Linked DNA regions of Bombyx mori. The protein of the gene in region 2 binds, or shares a complex with, the protein of the main gene of each other region. Links are inferred from orthologs where the notes say so. Each region holds a gene or a part of one and is shown on either strand. Other genes may lie near its edges.

What was found. Proteins that work in one complex are often made in the same cells at the same time.
Region 1: the proteins of methylcrotonoyl-CoA carboxylase subunit alpha, mitochondrial (region 2) and probable methylcrotonoyl-CoA carboxylase beta chain, mitochondrial are in contact, whole or in part, in a cryo-EM structure (PDB 8JXM), measured with the Homo sapiens proteins. The link is inferred for Bombyx mori from reciprocal best matches to the Homo sapiens genes MCCC1 and MCCC2. Residues at the interface, in NP_064551.3 of Homo sapiens: Glu519, Phe526, His531, Asp532, Phe534, Ser535, Pro536, Phe537, Ser538, Ser539, Ser540, Ser541, Gly542, Arg543, Arg544, Leu545, Asn546, Ile547, Tyr549, Thr550, Arg551, Tyr568, Tyr636, Leu637, Ser641, Glu644; in NP_071415.1 of Homo sapiens: Leu56, His57, Val60, Glu61, Lys64, Asp88, Ile91, Pro93, Gly94, Ser95, Pro96, Phe97, Leu98, Glu99, Gln102, Ile123, Gly124, Arg125, Gly128, Glu130, Arg234, Trp276, Leu278, His281, His282, His285, Lys298, Lys299, Leu300, Ile304.

The regions. Positions count from the first base shown.
Region 1 is NC_085125.1:11,581,371-11,585,525, forward strand, and holds the start of probable methylcrotonoyl-CoA carboxylase beta chain, mitochondrial, read left to right. Parts: upstream 1-1,355; 5' UTR 1,356-1,532; coding exon 1,533-3,206; 3' UTR 3,207-4,155. UniProt on the Homo sapiens protein: Carboxyltransferase subunit of the 3-methylcrotonyl-CoA carboxylase, an enzyme that catalyzes the conversion of 3-methylcrotonyl-CoA to 3-methylglutaconyl-CoA, a critical step for leucine and isovaleric acid catabolism.
Region 2 is NC_085121.1:10,538,789-10,542,301, forward strand, and holds part of methylcrotonoyl-CoA carboxylase subunit alpha, mitochondrial, read left to right. Parts: intron 1-931; coding exon 932-1,079; intron 1,080-1,430; coding exon 1,431-1,568; intron 1,569-1,727; coding exon 1,728-1,823; intron 1,824-2,342; coding exon 2,343-2,526; intron 2,527-3,513.

The DNA.
Region 1 (4,155 bases), on a different chromosome or scaffold from region 2:
AGTCTTGGCGAAATCTGTGATTATAGAAGTATAGAAGTCTTTAACAATAGAATCATAATGGTGTACAAACTTATATTTCAATGAATTATATTATATTCGAATTTCGATCACCAGGGCATCACTAGTTTTATGAAATTGTTCAACTTATTTATTGTCATCGAAATTTTTAATACTTGCAACCGTAGACGTAATGCAAATTGTTATATTCATCGGAATGCCGACGAATTGATTTGACACTAGTATTGTGTAAGAATCAAATTAAAACATACACATTTTGTTTTCAATTATTTAATCTTAAATATAGAGTTTTTTGTGACGTTCAATGATTTTGGGGTCATGCCCCACGACGATTTTCGAAGGCCTTAGGATGTGAATGATACCAGTCTTGAGACATGAGGTCGAACTTTCGCTTGTACTCCAACATCGATTATTTGCCGATTATAATGAGACAGTAATTTATGATATTCATTTTATACAAGATACTGTAAGTTTCAAATTCACAAGCTAGGTCTTACTGCTGATCCAGTCTGCAGGTATTGTGAGGAGGTGGAAGGAATCCTTAAGCACATGTTTGTGACTACTGAGCTTTAGGTAGTAAAATATGTTAAGTTCTCGGAGAGTATATTATTTACCTTAAGACGGAGAAGGAAAATTGTTCAAGAAAAATAGTTCAATTATTTATTTAATTAATTATTTATTTATTAGGCCCGGACAAAGATATCTAACACTTTGGTTTGGGGAAACATCAATGATCTTCCACTTAAGGTTTTTGCCAGATTTCTTTTACTCTATAATAGTTATCATAATACTGGGCATCTAAACCATGATAGAACCATAGTTGAAATGCTAATAATTAATAAAAAAAAACGTCTATATTACGTCCTATCTTAGTATACGATATTAATGTCGCTGTGTTCTGCAATACAATATAAGGTATATCTTTTACATATTTGCCAACAACTAAATAAAAGTAAGCGTCCATAAAAGATTGGCATAACGATAAAATACGAATATCCAATCGTATTCGATGAAGGGTAATGTCTATTTTGAAATTCAACTTGAAAATAAAATCAGTCTTGGTCTACAAGTAGATTCGTCGTAACAAGTGACCGTTTATTGTTCAAGGTCCGTGTGTATTTCACACCACGCTGCACGTGAACTCGACTCAAAAGTGGGTCACGTCATCATGATCGAATATCTGTTCAAAAACTAACATAAAATTTCGCTTCACGAATTTAAGGATCATTTATTTAAGCGCGTTATGCAAAAGGCGAACGCGCCAGAATGAATGGAAACGCGTCGGCGCTGGGCTTTGTAAATATTACGTAAAACTACGCTGTCTTAATATACAGTCAGAACGCATACATATGTAATAATGTAAGTTATTATCGGAGCGGGGGGCGGTCGTCAAGGAATTTGTTTTTGTACGATTAAAATGTGTTGATAACGTTAACAGCGGCTTTGTTGCCAGTAGCGCGTCAGAGGCCCGACGACCGGTCGTGTTTTTATTCTCAATTTAATTATACATTAAAATGTTTAAACTCGTCAGAAGCATACGCCGACTGAGCGCACAATGCCGGCACCACAGCCACGCGACCGTCATCGGTACTGAGCCGAACCGAAGTGATCCTTACTTTCAAGAGAATAAGGCGAAAATGGATGAACTGATCGACGAGCTTCAACAGAAAACCGGTGACGCTATCAGAGGTGGGCCAGAGGACGCAGTAAAGAGGCACACGGCGAGAGGAAAATTGCTTGTCAAAGACAGGATTAACCGGTTAGTGGACGAGGGCTCCGATGTATTGGAATTGAGCGCGCTCGCCGCCGCCGACATGTACAAGGGCCAGGTTCCGAGCGCCGGTATCGTCACCGCTATCGGCAAAGTTCACGGTCGCGATTGCATGATCGTCGCTAATGATGCAACCGTTAAAGGGGGAACTTATTTTCCGATTACCGTGAAGAAGCACTTACGCGCCCAGTCGATCGCACAGGAATGTCGGCTTCCGTGCATTTATCTTGTTGATTCTGGTGGAGCCCATCTCCCTGATCAGGCTGATGTGTTTCCGGACCGCGAACACTTCGGAAGAATATTTTACAATCAAGCTAATATGTCAGCTGAGGGTATACCGCAGATATCTGTTGTCATGGGATCGTGCACTGCGGGAGGAGCGTACATCCCTAGTATGTCAGACGAGAGTATTATAATAAAAAATCAAGGAACCATTTTCTTGGCCGGCCCTCCATTAGTCAAAGCCGCTACTGGTGAATCAGTTTCTGCTGAAGATTTAGGTGGAGCTGACCTACATTGCCGGCAATCAGGAGTAACGGATCATTATGCTCTAGATGATGAGCATGCTTTACATTTAGCTAGGAATGTCGTGGCCAACCTCAATTGGAACAATGACCAAAGAGCTAGAGTTTATTCCTCGAAAATTGAGGAGCCTGTTCATGACATTCAGGATTTACACGGAATAGTAGGTGCTAATATTCAGAGACCTTTCGACATTAGAGAGGTTATATCCCGGATAGTTGACGGAAGTAGATTTCATGAATTCAAGCAACTTTATGGGGACACTTTAGTCTGCGGCTTCGCCACATTGTATGGACACCCAGTAGGTGTAATCGGGAACAACGGCGTTCTTATGTCCGAATCAGCTTTGAAGGGATCCCATTTCATTCAGCTGTGCGCTGCTAGGAAGATTCCTTTAGTGTTCCTGCAAAACATTACAGGTTTTATGGTAGGAAAAGACGCTGAAGCTGGCGGTATTGCTAAAAATGGAGCTAAAATGGTAACTGCGGTCAGTTGTTTCAAAGGACCGAAAATAACTGTGATTGTTGGGGGAAGTTTCGGTGCTGGGAACTATGGAATGTGTGGGCGAGCGTATTCGCCGAGTTTTCTTTTCATGTGGCCCAACGCAAGAATATCCGTGATGGGGGGACCACAAGCTGCAACAGTTCTCTCCTTGGTCGCCAAAGAAAAGGCTCAGCGTGAAGGGAAACCGTGGACTGATGAAGATGAAAAGAAAGTCAGGGGTCCATTAGAAGCGCAATTTGAGAAAGAGGGTCTTCCTTACTACAGTACAGCAAGGCTGTGGGATGATGGCATTGTAGCTCCGAAAGATACGAGAAAAATTATAGGCCTAAGTTTATCGGCAGCTCTTAACGCACCGTTTAGAGAAAGCAAATTCGGCATCTTTAGAATGTGAGTGAAATTTGAACAAAGTGAAACTTTACAAGACTGTTTTGTTTAATGTACTTAGTAAGACTTTATTTTCTTCTCTAGATATATTTTAAAATTGTAATAAATCGCTTTTGGTGATTTCGTACAGTGATTTTTACCATATATCTTATCTTTGTTAGCAAGTGAACTTGTCACGTTCTTTTATCTAATTAAAATGAGCAATCATTAACTACAGATTATGACATGGTCGATAAGATTTATTTTGGTTGTGACACGCCTCTTTAGATAATTGTTGCTGTATCATATAGTGAGAAAATTAATGTTTCTAGTACATCCTCGGTTGGTTTAGTTTTAGAGAAAACAATGCAACGGTCTGGGCTTGGATTTGACCAGTCTTCTTCAGTCCCTGCCTCCGTAGGGAAGTAATTTCTAGTTAAGTACTTTCAAAATCTCGTTGGAATAAATAAGCGACACAGAAAGCAAAGGTGCTCGTTTTTAGACATATGCGTTGTTGAATTCAGTTGAGAATAGTCCTTAAAATTTGGCGAACGGATGCCTGATTTTTAAAAACAAAGTAATTGTAGTTTTGGTCGAAGTAAAGAGTAAAAACTAAATAAAAACAATTGTATTACCTACCTTATACATTAACTACATTTGAAAAGTCATTTTGAAATAAAAAGAACAATGGCTATATGAAATGTATTCAATTACTATGCAAATCATTAAAAATGGTGTTACAAAGTTTAGGTTTAACTAAAGGATTTGTGCCACTTAATTTTAACGGTTTGTTTTTAGTGGTAATAAATACAAGGTCGAAATGTCAAAAGAGGACCGATATATGAAGTTTTTTCTATTTCACTCAATTAAAAATTAGCCTTAAAAATACTGTATTCAGGTTTCATGTGAGGTTAATATGTAGATAGTATAAGTAAGATAATTAAAGAAAGTGACTGCCATTAGCGAAATGTCCGTAA
Region 2 (3,513 bases):
TTTTCCATCCTCGCTCATGGTATGGTTGGGAGTTTCTTATTGGGGCTTAATAGAGGTACATTTTTGTGAGAAAGGTGTAAAAACGAATGCAGTTGTGTATCAAAATACAGTCCTGACGAACCTTGTGGTACCTGTTTCTCATACCATGTTCAATAACAGGCACTGGGTATTCCAACAAGATTCGGCGCCAGTTCATAGAGCGAAGAGCACACAAGACTGGCTGGCGGGGCGTGAAATCGACTTCATCCGGCACGAAGACTGGCCCTCCTCCAGTCCAGATTTGAATCCGTTAGATTACAAGATATGGCAACACTTGGAGAAAAAGGCGTGCTCAAAGCCTCATCCCAATTTGGAGTCACTGAAGACATCCTTGATTAAGGCAGCCGCCGATATTGACATGGACCTCGTTCGTGCTGCGATAGACGACTGGCCGCGCAGATTGAAGTCCTGTATTCAAAATCACGGAGGTCATTTTGAATAAACGTTAGTGTCATAAGAATCTGTTTTGTTAAGTTCATTTTGGTATATGAATGGTTACATAATGAATAAACTTGTTTCAATTATTTTACCTTAAACATGTGACAGAATTTATGACCTGACTATGTATAATGATTGTTCACAAAATTTAAAAGACAGTTGTTATATCTACGAGCAGCTCAAACGAAATATGTAATGTGAAAAACTTACATCAGTCAATGTGGAGCCAAGTTGACACTTACATGTAAATTACTGAAATCTGAAACCACAGTACTGTTTACCCTGTATCTGTATAATAAAGAATTTTACAAAAATACACCATTAGTATTTAGGCTTCCCTGTAATTAAAAATGTATATATTATAAAAATTGTTTTATAAAGTAAAACAAGAATTTACTTAATTTAAAAATTTGTATATTGTTCTTAACTAATTTGTGATTCTTTATTTTTTTAGTACGTCAAAAGCTATTATGTCAGCAGCCGGTGTACCCATTGTTAGAGGATACCATGGTGAAGATCAGAACATTGAGAGACTGAAAGCTGAAGCCCAAAGAATTGGTTTCCCGCTTATGATCAAGGCTGTCCGGGGGGGCGGAGGAAAGGTACAATCTATTTAAATTCACCTTTAATGCGTATATCTTTATTTTATCATTTTAGTAGAAATGGTGAATTGATTTTGAACCATCTGTGGTGAAATAAAATATTGAAGACTTCACCATTCCACTGGGTTTTTCATCTAAAACATTAATGTTGGCTTACTTGATGTAAAATATTAAGAAAAAAATGGATGTAACCTTTCAATAATACATTAATGACTGGTTCAAAAACCATGAAATGTCTATAAGTGTTTATAAAATTCAATACAAAATTTCAAATGGTAATAAATATCTCACACCAAATGTTTTGATTCTTCCACCCAATTTTTTTTCTTAATCTTTTTTATTTGTTTTCAGGGTATGAGAATCGCAATGACCGAATCTGATTTCCTTCCGCAATTGGAATCGGCGAAGAGAGAATCGCTTAAATCATTTGGAGATGATAATATGCTGCTCGAACAATACATTACGGATCCAAGGCATGTGGAAGTTCAGGTGTGGTGAATAATTTTTCTTTTTAAATGTCAATATTATCTAGTTAGTTCACCACACATTATACAAGTATTATATAAATTATTTTAACTGTAAAAAAATTGTAAAACCATATTTTTTTATTTCGTATCAGAGGCTAATGTAAAAAAAAACTCATTTCAGGTGTTCGCAGATATGCACGGAAATGCTGTTCATCTTTTTGAAAGAGATTGTTCAGTACAGAGACGACACCAGAAGATCATAGAAGAAGCTCCGGCAGTGAGTGTTTTTTTTAATTTCCAAATTCATTTAATCTCAAACCTAACTGAAGTCATCGTGGCCTAAAGGATAAGACGTCTGGTGCATTCACCTGGTGTTCGAATCCCTCAGGCGGGTACCGATTTTTCTAATGAAATACGTGCTTAACAAATGTTCACGATTGACTTCCACAGTGAAGGAATAACATCGTGTAATAAAAATCAAACCAGCAAAACTATCATTTGCGTAATTAATGATGGTAGGACCTCTTGTGAGTCCGCACGGGTAGGTACCACCACACTGCCTATTTCTGCCGTGAAGCAATAATGCGTTTCGGTTTGAAGGGTGGGGCAGCCGTTGTAATTATACGGAGACCTTAGAACTTATATCTCAAGGTGGGTGGCGCATTACGTACACGTAATAGATGTCTATGGGCATCAGTAACCACTTAATACCATGTGGGCTGTGAGCTCGTCCACCCATCTAAGCAATAAATAAAAAAAGACAAACTATCATCATAATATATATTCTGTCTTCCAGCCTGGGCTTTCTGAAGAGACTCGTAGAGCGTTAGGTGAAGCCGCAGTTCGCGCCGCCAAGGCCGTGGGCTACGTAGGAGCCGGCACAGTAGAGTTCATCCTTCATAGAGTCACACACGAATTCCACTTCATGGAGATGAACACGCGTCTTCAAGTCGAACATCCAATCACGGAAATGATAACTGGTAATTAATTTAATTAAAATTGTTTTATCTTTAAATTAATTCAATTGATATACTAATGTATACCTGCAAAGGTTTTGGTTGAGAATAAAATCACTCTGTCTATTCTATTGAATGTCATGAAGTGAATAAGCTGAAGCCTTTGAGTATTATATATGCATACATATAAGTTGTACATAAATACTAGAGGAGATCAAAACTTGTGTCTGAAGTGGAGAACTCTCTGGGGCGTGTCTCCAAGTGGGGTAAACTGAATTCAGTTCAGTTCAACGCATTGAAGACACGGGCTTACGCGTTCACTGCGAAGGGCCCTTTTGTCATAGCGCCGCAATTTCAAGGAGTAGTACCTACCCCTGCAGCTTTCCTCGAGTATAGGGATTCTGGGGATCGATATTTCGAGCGATGTCAAATTTCGGAGTCATTTGGAAGGTTAAGCCAAATTGGCCTCTAAAATGTTAATTAAAAAAACGACAATTTAGCCGAGAAAATTGTGAGTGAAAACGAGTGACTTTTACCACAGCACATAAGCACAGTCTTACCGAATATGACTAACTCATTATTGCAGATGCAATTAGCCAATCACGCAAAGAAACTTATTTTTTGTGCCAAACGCATACGCATACGAAAAAGGCCTATTTTGGATCTTTTATCAGTCAAGGGACTCCATGAAATACAATATGCAACTGCGACAATTTTTTTCATTGTACATATTATTATTATAACTTCAAAATATGTTTACTGGTGGTAGGACCTGTTGTGAGTCCGCGCGGGTAGGTACCACCGCCCTGCCTATTTCTGCCGTGAAGCAGTAATGTGTTTCGGTTTGAAGGGTGGGGCAGCCGTTGTAACTATACTGAGACCTTACAACTTATATCTCAAGGTGGGTGGCGCATTTACGTTGTAGATGTCTATGGGCTCCAGTTACCACTTAACACCAGGTGGGCTGTGAGCTCGTCCACCCATCTAAGCAATAAAAAAAAAACTCATTTA